Linked DNA regions of Diceros bicornis minor. The protein of the gene in region 3 interacts with the protein of the main gene of each other region in a biochemical or structural test. Links are inferred from orthologs where the notes say so. Each region holds a gene or a part of one and is shown on either strand. Other genes may lie near its edges. The genes, in order: NFKBIB, NFKB1 and IKBKB.

Region 1 (3,749 bases), on a different chromosome or scaffold from region 3:
GGAGGACATAATAGTATGCGAGTGTGTGCGCGGAGAGGGTCAGGTTTACAGGCAGAGGGAAGTTTAGAAAGTAAGAGAAGATGAGAGATACTCTGACTGGAGGCAGGTTTGGAGAGGAGGCGTGGTGGGAATGGTAGGTTTAGGAGAGGCACAGGAACTAGAGGGAAGAGACAGGAGGGGATATAGGGGTCCCCTAGCTTCCTACAGCTCCCTCCATCAACCAGATACCCTTAGCAACCGGGACCGCGGCAACCTAAGTCCTTAGAAACGAAGGTCCTTAGCGACCAAGGTGCGAGAAACACGCAATCATGGGTAACTTGGGGGACGTGGCAAACGGACCCTTAAAACCTCGCGACCCAGAAACCCACCGACCTAGCAATACGGATCACTTAGCAACGGCCCGCCGAGTCCCACTCGCCCCCCTACGCAGCCCCTATCTGCTGCCCCATCAAGCCCACCCTCGGGCCCCGGGGCCTGCAGCCCTCAGCCAGGCCCCGGCGCGGCCCGACCCTCCCACCGGGGCCCCCGACTCACGGTCCGGCTCGGCCATGGACGCGGGGCGGGAGCCCTAGGAGCTGTCACCGACTGCTCTGTCCCGTGACGGCACCGGAAACAGGAGGGACAGACATAGGGCAGAGAACTACAACTCCCAGCAGCCATCGCGGCCGCAAACAAGCTTTCGCAGCCTCTCAGGTAATGAAGACTCCCGAGGGCCAGACTACGAGTTCCAGAGTGCCCCGCGCCAGCAGCCATGTTGGTAAAGGGCGCCCGGAAAATGTGGGAATGGGTAGAGAGCCGCAGTCCATCTGAATACTCTGATTGGTCACAGTGTGGTACGGGGGTGGGGCATGTGCTATTTAGCCCACGCTGATTGGGTGAGTCAGGGGGCGGGTTGGGGAATTCCCCGCAGGGCGGAAGCGCCAGACATCCAGGCAAAGCCCAGCGACGGGCGGGCGGCCGCTGGGGGCCCCTGAGGCTTCGGGGGCCATGGCCGGGGTCGCGTGCTTGGGGAAAGCCTCGGACGCCGACGAATGGTGCGACAGCGGCCTGGGCTCTCTGGGTCCGGATGCGGCGGCCCCCGGAGGACCGGGGCTGGGCGCGGAGCTGGGCCCAGGGCTGTCGTGGGCGCCCCTCGTCTTCGGATACGTCACTGAGGATGGGGACACGTGAGTGAACCTTAGGTTGCCTAACCGGGCCCTAGGATCCGACATCTGATTCCCTGTTAGTTTCTGATCCCGGCTTCCCAACCTCTCATCCTAAATCTGACTTCTGATGCTTGACTTCCTGATCTCTAACCCCCAAGTCCTAACCTTTAATAAGACCAATTTCCTCTCCAGCTTTGATCCTAATCCAATAATTTCTGACCGTTCTTTCTTGAACTCAGGTTCTCAGATTTCCACATCCCTATCCATTGATCTCAAAAGTCAATTTAACCTTCCTGACCCCAGTCCGGAGACCTTTGTTAGAACTGTAGCTAAGGCAGGCCCTTCCTGACCTCTAATCTCCAAATATGATCGTTGATCCTTAGCTCTTGATTTATGAGCCTTTTTCTTTGATTTCCCAATTAATACTTGGCCTTTGACTCTAAGATCCCACCTTCTGAGCACTAGTTTTCAAATCTTACATTCAAAGAGAAAATATAGGCTCTGTGACAGCAGGGATTCATCTGTTAAACAAATATTTATCAAACGCTGCCATGTTCTAGGCCCTGTTTGAGGTGCTGGTAATAAGGCAAGAGAAGAAAACAGACAAAAACATATGCCCTGTGGAGCATACATTCTAGTGGAGGTATGTGGACAGCCAGACAGACTGACAGACAGACAAGAAGGAAGGGAGGAAAAAGAAAGAGAGAGAGAAAGAGAGAGAGAGAAGAAAAGAAAGAGAAAGAAAGGGAGAGAGAGAGAAAGAGAGAATGAAAGGGAGACAGAAGGAAAGACAGACAGACAAGACATGGAGGAAGGCACAAAGAAAGAAAGAGAAAAGAAGCGAAAGACGGGAAGAAACTAAGACAGAAAGAAATGAAAGAAGAAAAAGAGAGAAAAGTGGTATGTTAGAAAGCAGTAAGTTCTTTGGACAAAAATAAAGCGGGAAAATGAGACAAGTAGATTGTCTGGGGAGAAGAGCAGTCCAGGGAGAAGGAACAACAGTTGTAAAAGCCGAGGGGGGGTTGTCCCTGGGTTTGTGTGTTGTGTTTTCTCCTGTCTCCCCATAGGAGCACTCAGTAAACATTGATCTTCTCAAAGAACCAGCTTTGGTTTCATTACTTTTCTCTATTTTTTTTTTCTTTCTATTTCATTGATCTCTGTTCTGACTTGCATTATTTCCTTTCTTCTGCTTACTTTGGGTTTAATTTGTTCTTCTCTTCCTAGTTTCTTAAGGTGGAAACTGAGGTTGTTGATTTGAGACCTTTCTTCTTTTCTAATCAAGGTGTCGTGTGCTGTAAATTTCCCTGAGTACTGCTTTAGCACTATCTCACAAGTTCTGATATGTGTGTTTTTCTTTTCTTTTTTTTTTTTTTTTTTGTGAGGATATCAGCCCTGTGCTAACATCTGCCAATCCTCCTTTTTTTTTTGCTGAGGAAGACTGGCCCTGGGCCAACATCCGTGCCCATCTTCCTCCACTTTTTATGTGGGACACCGCCACAGCATGGCTTGCCAAGCAGTGCGTCAGTGTGCGCCCGGGATCCGAACCAGCACACCCCAGGCCGCCGCTGCGGAGCCCACGCACTTAACCACTTGCGCCACTGGGCAGGCCCCTGTGTGTCTTTATTTTCATTTCAATTCATTTAATTCAGTATAATTTCTAATTTCTTTTTGAGTTCTTCTTCGGCCGGTGGATTATTTAGAAGCATGTTATTTAGTTTCCAGATATCTGGGAGTCTTTCTAAATATCTTTCTTTTATTGATTTTTAATTTAGTTCCATTGTGGATGAGAACATACTTTGTATGACTTGAATCCTTTTAAATTTATTGAGACTTGTTTTATGGCTCAGAATGTTGTGTGTACACTTCAAAAGAAAGTGTATTCTGCTATTGGTAGTGTAGTGTTCTTTACATGTCAGTTAGAGGTTGTGTTGGTTATAGCATTGTTCAAGTCTATATCCTTGCTGTTGAGTTTGTCTCTTTGTTATATCAGTTGTTGAGAGAGAGGTATTGAAATCTGAAACAATAATTGTGGATTTGTCTATTTCTCCTTTTTGCTCCATGTAATTTGATGCTCTGTTATTAGAGGCACAAATGTTTAGGATTATTATGTCCTCTTGATTAATTGATTTCTTTATCATTATGATATAACCTTCTCTATCCCTGCTAATATTCCTTGCTCTGAAATCTACTTTGTCTGATCAGAAAATACTCCTGCTTTCTTTTGAGTGACTCGTGTTAGCCTGGTATATCGTTTTCCACCCTTTTATTTTTAACCTTTTTTTTTTTTTTTTTTTTGGTGAGGACGATCAGCCCTGAGCTAACATCCATGCCAATCCTCCTCTTTTTGCTGAGGAAGACTGACCCTGGGCTAACATCTGTGCCCATCTTCCTCCACTTTATATGGGACGCCGCCACAGCATGGCCTGACACGCAGTGCATCGGTGCACGCCCGGGATCCGAACCCTGGCTGCCAGCAGCGGAGCGCATGCATTTAACTGCTACGCCACGGGACCGGCCCCCTTAACCTATTTTTTAATATTTATATTTAAAGAATGTTTCTTGTAGGCAGCATAGAGTTGAGTTTTACTTTTTAAGTCAACCTGA
Region 2 (3,749 bases), on a different chromosome or scaffold from region 3:
AAGGAGTAACCTCTGATAGTCAAGGTGGTAACTTACTTCATCAATTATCTGGAAGGCTGAAAGCAGTAGTAAAAACAACCTCCATAAATGTTAGTTTCTTAAACTAGCTTCAATTTGTTCCAAAGAACATGAGAAGAGAAATATGAGGAATATGATCACTAAAACTAAAATTCTGCCATTTCAGACTAATTGAGCTTTTACCAACTACAACTCAGTCATCACAGACGATCTTGTTTAAGAGGTAGAAGTAAGAAGGAAGTGCAAAGATCAAAGCAGTGCTTACAAAGGGGAACAACGATTTTTGTATGTATATTCCAGTATTTACTAACCGGGTCTGAAAAACAGGGGCATTTATTCAGCCCATGTGAACGCCAACTGCAGAACATAAGACAAAATTGAAATTTCAGAACAAAGATAATAGAGTTTCAAATCACCACCGATCCCTAACTGCATTATACTATTTCCTTTTAAAAGCCTTTCAAACAGGTTAGAAGGGGTTTACTGCTGACGGCAAGCAGCCCTTCAGTGCCAGCACGAAATCTCCACATAATGAGTCTTTCTTTGGCTCATGTTTGTCCAGGAGACTGTGGTCCAGGAAAACATTCTATCTAAACAAGCCCCAGAGGGCACTGAGGAGTTGCAGGTATAACCAGATGGATGAATAATTTCAGTAGATTTCATTTTTCCGTCTATTATATATGTTCTTCTCACCTTAGCAATTCAATTACGTGATAAACATAAAATGTTACAGGAAACAAATCTTTTATTTCCTGTCTTCCCAAGTTTGTAAGCTCAAAAAAATACTTTGCTTTAAATTATTTACATAATTTCTTTAGTGCATCAAACAGTAAAAGGATTCATCTCTAGAAAGCACAATATTAAAATCAGGAAAACAACATAGTTCAGCTAAGGGCTTTATTTTACTCAAGATTCCCTTTCAAAGTTTTAACAAACACTAATGCAATTTAAACTACTCAAGAATACTCAATTGAAGTATTCTGCTAGGAAAACAAGCACTGAACATCTTGATTTCAAGCTTTAGTGTCTACCAAAGAGCAACAGTTTGTAGAAGAACATTTGTATGCCAGAGCTATTACATGTTTTAGTAATACCAAGGCATTTTCTCAGATTATGGGCTTTATAACAAAAATTTTAAGCTAAATATAGTTCTTTAATAAGCTGAATGCTGAAAAACCCTACTCAACAAAGTCCATGAAAACGCCTTAAATCTTGACAATCAAATACCGTATCATTAAGTCCCATTTAAGTTTCAGGTTAGACCAATAAATCAGGGCAAACATCTCCATTCCGTACTTATTTTTAAAGACCACAGAAAGCTTGTATTTAGGACAGGCTTTGTTTATATCATTATGTTTGCTTTAGAGGTCAGGCACAATACATGGTGCCGTTGTTCAAGTGTTTCACATAATCAGAGTGTCTAAAAAGTGCTCTAAGTAGGTAATTTCTTTTCTTTCTCAAATGCCAGGCACTGTAGGATCAGCACCAGACCCTCCTTGTTTTCTTGAAGACTAATGTAGGGTCCTAGAGTAGGTGAGTTGAGTATATTATGTCGTGTGTGTGTGTGTGTGTGTGTGTGTGTGTGTGTGTGTGTGTAGGGGGGATTCTTTTTGGAGTAAGGGACGAGGGCATCAGGCTGTCCTCCTCAGTCTAGAGGGCCGAGGAGGGCTCTCCCAGCCTAAAGGACGGCCATGCACTTCTGCTTTCATTTCGTGAACCGCCCGGCGGTGAAATCTGGTTCAGCACTGCACGCAAACGCACCCCCTTCCCCTCGCTCCTCGGCGCCGCCGAAGCGCACCTCCACCTCAAGCCGCCCCTAGCAGGGGTGGGGTGGGGATAAAGCAAGTTTGCAAGAGTTCGCCCCGGTTCCCGGGCCCGCCCGGCGCGGGGACGGGAGAGAGAGGCCGGCCAGGCAGCCGCGGCCCTGCGGCCGACCGGCTCCTGCGCGGCCCGGATGTGCCTGTCTCCCTGTCGCCAGTCCCATGTGCCTCGCCACTCCTGTCAACCTCCTCCCGCGGGCTGGCCCCGCGGTGGCGCCGGAATGAGGAAGTCCGAAAGGGGCTGCAGGGGCTGCAGCGGGTGGGCGGCGGGCCTCGGGCACCCGGCCCGGCGAGGCCCCCCTCGCCCGAGGTGGCTTACCCTGGTGGCGGGTCCGCGCGGCCTCCCTGCGCCGGGGGCTCCCTCCGGGGGCGCGGGCCTGAGCGCTGCGGAGGGCAGAGGCAGCGGCCGCCGGGGCGGAGCGGGTCTGGTGCGGGCCGGGCGGGTCGGGCCGGGGCGCGGTCTCGCCGGCCAGGCCAGTCAGCGGCGCGCCATGTCCGCGGCGCGGGCGGAGGGAGCGCGGGCGCGGGAGGCCGCGGCGGGGAGGCCGGGCTGCGCGGGGCCGGGGCCGGGGCCGGGGCGGGCGGCGGGCGCGGCCGAGGGCGGCGGCGAGAGGCCCGAGCGCCGGGAAGGGCAGGGGAAGCTGTCAGCGCGCCGCCCGGCCGCGCGGGTGGCGAAACCTCCTCTTCCTGCCCCGGCCCGCCGGTGCACTTCTCTCTCGTTCTCGCTCGCTCACTCTCTCACTTCCTGGCTGGAAATTCCCACTGACGTCGAGAGAGCAGACAGACAGACGGACAAGCGCGCACGCCGCGGGGGCGGGAGGTGGGGTCGCCGCGGGGGTGGGGGAAGCCCGCACTGGTGGGGCGCGCGGCGAGGGGCGCGCGTGGGGCGGCGCGGCCGCCGGGTCCCGGCGGAGCCCGCTCCCCGCCGCGCTCCCGAAGGAGCCACGGGGCTAGAGCGGCGGGACGCCCCCTGGTAGGCCTGCGGGGCCGGCTGTCCCGGGCAGCAGGCGGCGGGGCGGCTGATAGGGTCGGGCGGTCCAGGGCCCCTAAGGACGGGCCCAGGCATCTGGAGGGGATGATGGGTCGGCACGGGGCCAAGCATGCTGTGTATAAAAATAAATCCCATCTGTATAGTCCATGTAAGTTGTCTCAGTTACGCTCAAATCTCTTCACAGATTAAACTGGAATTTCTCTATCGTAACTGAATTCTGTCCAGTGAGGTCTGAACATCTACTGGTTGTTGGTGAGATCTTAAATCTCCTGGTTATGACTGTTATTCAGAACTTTCATCTACAGGGCATTGTCAGGCCTTATGATAATACTGTGGATAGAGTTATAGTGATGGTGGTAGCAATGGTTTTGGTTCACAGCTCATAAAGAAATCCTGATCTGGCAGAAGAGAGATTTTCTCTTTTTAATGGAGAGACTGCTCCTGGAACCCACGGACAGATGTCTCCGGTGACCACCGTCCACTAGCATTGAGCTTCTCTACGTGCCAGGTGCTGTGCTAGGCGTGGGCTGGGGATCCCTTGGAGTAGATTACCTCCCCAATAAGAAATCTTGAGTTGGAATCGGTGCTTTAGAACTCATTGTCTCAGTGCTGAGTTCAGTGACAACTGTGTAAATTTAACTTGAAAACATCCGTAATCACGGGATCACTAGGCAGTGTTGCTGTGGCTTTAGATTGCTACTAGCAAGTTCTGCATGGTCCTTTCATGCCCACTGCCTGGCCTCTCCTCTCCCTCCCCAAGGTTATAAGAATCTTCTTGGTGGAGTGTTGGGCAGAGGAGTAGAGATGCATTTATTTGAGTCTGGGATGAGTCTCTGCAGGGACCTCGGGACCAACCAGCAACTTACAGTAGTCCTCTCCTGTTCAGAGTTTCACTTTCTGCAGTGTCAGTTACCCCAGGT
Region 3 (3,749 bases):
GCTAGCGTAAATATACTAACACACACACAACTCCTTAGTCTGCTAATATAACACCATAGAGAGAAACTCAATAGAAACTTTATTACAATGCCAGGTAGATGGGAGAGGAAAGATTCATCTCAGGCCTGAGAGCCTCTGCCACAATTTCCCTACATCACTGGGGCTGAAAACGTGCTTTAGTGTCACACTACTAGATTTTCCCCCCCTTTTCTTTATTTTTTCAAGGGGGGAGAAGGGGCTGTCACTTCTAAGGAGTACAGCTTTGATTTATCATTCTTGACACGGAGCCAAAAAGCCTCCAGACAAGGGGAGCGCAGCAGGAGGACAGGAGGCCAACGACACTTCTTGTAAATAGTCCCCAAATCAATCCCAGCGGGGGCGCGGGAAATTCCACCGAGTTAAAAGTCTAGGAAGCGGTGTCAAGTTCACCCCAGGAGGGCTGGGGTGAGGAAATCCCCGTCTCCCCTGTCCCAGAAAGCGCTCAGGTTGAAGTCATTTGTCTAAAGGGGACTCGGGCATATTAGGGCTCAGCTTAGGACTGCTCTTTTATCTCAGGGAGCACAGCCTGACCAACTTCGACAGGAGTTGTCTAGAAGCCGCACACCCTCCCGGGATCACCTGGGCGGGGGTCGCCGGGCGCGGCCGGCTGGCGCGGGCACGGGGCGTCGCCTGACCCCCCACCTTCCCCCCCTCCCCCCGCGGCCCCTTTAAGGGCCGGCCGGCCCACGTGCCTCTTGACGTCAGAGCAGGAAGTGTTTGAGGAAGTCGCGCTCCGCTGGCAGGTTTAAGATTCCCGCATTTTAATGTCTTCGGGGTGGTGCCCGAGACCCCAGTGGTGCCGCCCAGCCCCTGCCTCCCCCGCCCCGGGCAGCCGCTCCCCCGCCCCGCGGCCCCGCCGACAGGTGAGTCCCTCGGGCGGCGCGGTCCTGGTGCCACCTGCAGACCCCGCGTCGCCTCTGCCTCGGCGGGCTCGCACCTCCCTCCTCACTTGAGGCTCCTGAAGAAACTTGTGTGGAGTTTGAAAGTCGGGGGGGGGTGGGGTTCCGGGCGTGGAAGCGATCCTCTCGTCGGGTTGGAGTCGGGGGCCCGGGACAGCCCTGGCCAGGTGGTTCCAGGGGGCGGCTTCGAGGTGGGTGGCTTTGGGAGAGAGCCCTGATTCACTGGGACTGTGTGAAGACACGTGACCGCGGGGACGCTCACGGCTCTCCCTGCACCTCGGGCGGCGTGCCGCGGGGCTCGCGCCGCTGGCTGGAGTCCAGGCTGGGCTCCCCCGCCGAGGTCCTGGGCTGTGGGCCGTCATCTCCTTTGGGTGGCTTTCCTCCCTCCGTGCTTCCACAGCCGCTGAGGTGGGGGTGGAGGACGATGAGCAAGACAAAAGTTTGCCCCCAAAACCAAAAACCCAAACAGAGAAACTGGTTTATTTACAAAACGAAAATCAGCTCAGGTTCTTCTCTCACATTGAAGGGCAGTGGTCTCTCTCACCTTCCCCGTCCCTGTCTCCCAGAGTTGCATTTTGTCTCAACCTTAACCTTTTGTCCCCACCCCGAATTGCTTACAGAGTTAGCACCGCATCAGTATGAGCTGGTCACCCTCCCTGCCAACCCAGACATGTGGGGCCTGGGAAATGAAAGAGCGGCTTGGGACAGGGGGATTTGGAAACGTCATCCGATGGCACAATCAGGTAGGGGCTCTGTGCAGCTGGGAAGGGCCAGGGTCGGCAGGGTTTGGGGGTGGGGAACACAGGCCCCCTCTCGCTGCCTCTACCCCACGTGGTGCTGGATGGGTCAATGGGGCTCACCTTTGGCCATGGGCTTCTTGGGAAGGAGTGAGAGAGGGAGACTGGGAAGAGGGCTTCAGGGCTGCTAAGCTGGCTCTGGGTTAGTGGTCTCTGCGCTTTATTGACTATGCCACCTAAATAAATAGTAAAAAAATTTAAGCTTTCAGCCTCAATTATATATATTTTAAGTTATATATCTGTCCTAATATTAGACTATCATGTGCTAATCTATTGTGTACTAATCTATTACATGCTATAAAGTTTGGTATGCTACACTTCAGCGGCCCTGGATCGGTTCCCAGGCACGGACCTACACTGCTGGTCAGTGGCCATGCTGTGGCAGCGGCCCACATACAAAATAGAGGAAGATTTGCAACAGATGTTAGCTCAGGGTGCATCTTCCTCACGCAAAAAGAGGAGCATTGGCGACGGATGTTAGCTCAGGGCCAAACTTCCTCAGCAAAAACAAAACAAAACAAAACAAAAAACACAAAAATAAAAATTTAAAGGATGAGAATAATAAAATTTTTTAACTGTTTTAAAAATTAATTTTAAAAATATTTTAAATATTTACCAATTATAATGTCTTCCCAGTATTGTTTACAATACTTCACAGCACAAAATATTCTGATCTACGTGAAAGTGAGAATTATCGTTAAGGATTGTGGATGAAAATCTGTATTTCAAATAATTTTTATAATTTTGAATTATTTGGACCAATTTCTTTTTAGATCTGGTTAGTTCCTCGTTGTTTTTATTCCTTATGTGTCTGACATGAGTTTCTCACACTAGAAGTGTCACTTCTTCCATATTCCTGTTTGTGCAGGTGTTACACGTACTGAAACTCTCTGCAGGAAATCTCTTTAAGCCACTCATCCATTTTATGAGTGTTCTTTTATTAAAATTGCATAATACAATCCGTAGCTCTACCTCAGTGGGGCACATGTAATCCGCATCGCGTCCCCATAGGCCCCTGTCCACCCCCTGCCAGTGGAACGCCCATTTTCCTCAGGATACCTCGAGTACCAGAACTGGCACATGACCTTCTGACGAATGATATGAGGAGGGTGCCATACAGTTAGTATCAGAAAAGCTTAATTTCTTTTTATTTTCTTGGATCCCAGTCTTGGGTAACCCCTGGGGTGCATACACCCAATTTGGAGACCACTGCTCTGGGGAACCCTCACTCACCAAATACGTAATAGTAGCTTCCTGACCCAAACTTCAGACCCACTGAAGTCCTTGAAGGAAGGTGCCTGCTTTTTAACCAAGGGCGGCTGAGCACCTTTTGGACTGAAGGGATGGCAGATCACACGCTGCTTCCCAGGAGCCTGGCTGCAGCAATCGCGGAGGGTCATTGAGGCTACTGATCAGCCATGTTGAGGGTCATTCCAGTCAGCCATCCATCCACCGTCATCATTTAGTGGGAAGACATTCTAGGCCCTGCCTTGAGTGCTGCCAGCTCTGAGCAGATCGAATGACCCCTAGAGAAATAGGGAGCCAGAGCTGGAGGGCAGAGTACAGTTCTGCAGGCGGTAATTCTCACACCCAAATGGGAAGCTAGGCTTCCAGCAAACCCCGTGGCTGAGGGGGCCTAAGAAACAAAACTGGCTCAAACTTGTTCTAGTCAGAGTATAGTTGGGAGCCTAGCATTTTAACAGAGCAGCCAGATCATTCTACAGCCCTACATATACCTGGGCTGGACTGTTTCTGAATAGGCCAGGGTTTTTAGAGTCTTGACTATAGCAGATATCTTGCTGCAGCCGCGCTAGAGACGTCTCGGTTTCCTTTGAAAAGAGTTCTGTCCGAATGCGCCACGTATCTGTCATCTTTAAGTCAAAATGACCTCCATTTGCTCTCTGGGCTTGGAAAGCTGTTGTCAGATGAAATGTGTTTCTGGCTTTATAGATATGAGCCTGAGAGAGAGAGAGAGAGAGTGTGTGTGTGTATGTATGTATTAGTCTTCTAAATT

Evidence for each region.
Region 1: of the proteins of IKBKB (region 3) and NFKBIB, one has a biochemical effect on the other in vitro, tested with the Homo sapiens proteins (2 studies listed by BioGRID). The link is inferred for Diceros bicornis minor from reciprocal best matches to the Homo sapiens genes IKBKB and NFKBIB.
Region 2: of the proteins of IKBKB (region 3) and NFKB1, one has a biochemical effect on the other in vitro, tested with the Homo sapiens proteins (4 studies listed by BioGRID and IntAct). The link is inferred for Diceros bicornis minor from reciprocal best matches to the Homo sapiens genes IKBKB and NFKB1.

Annotation. Positions count from the first base shown.
Region 1 is NC_080773.1:13,007,985-13,011,733, forward strand, and holds the start of NFKBIB (NF-kappa-B inhibitor beta), read left to right. Parts: upstream 1-938; 5' UTR 939-987; coding exon 988-1,166; intron 1,167-3,749. Other genes in the region: SIRT2 (NAD-dependent protein deacetylase sirtuin-2), read right to left, coding at 535-550. UniProt on the Homo sapiens protein: Inhibits NF-kappa-B by complexing with and trapping it in the cytoplasm.
Region 2 is NC_080747.1:84,940,173-84,943,921, reverse strand, and holds the start of NFKB1 (nuclear factor NF-kappa-B p105 subunit), read right to left. Parts: upstream 2,661-3,749; 5' UTR 2,158-2,660; intron 1-2,157.
Region 3 is NC_080768.1:39,338,926-39,342,674, forward strand, and holds the start of IKBKB (inhibitor of nuclear factor kappa-B kinase subunit beta), read left to right. Parts: upstream 1-763; 5' UTR 764-902; intron 903-1,558; 5' UTR 1,559-1,576; coding exon 1,577-1,681; intron 1,682-3,749.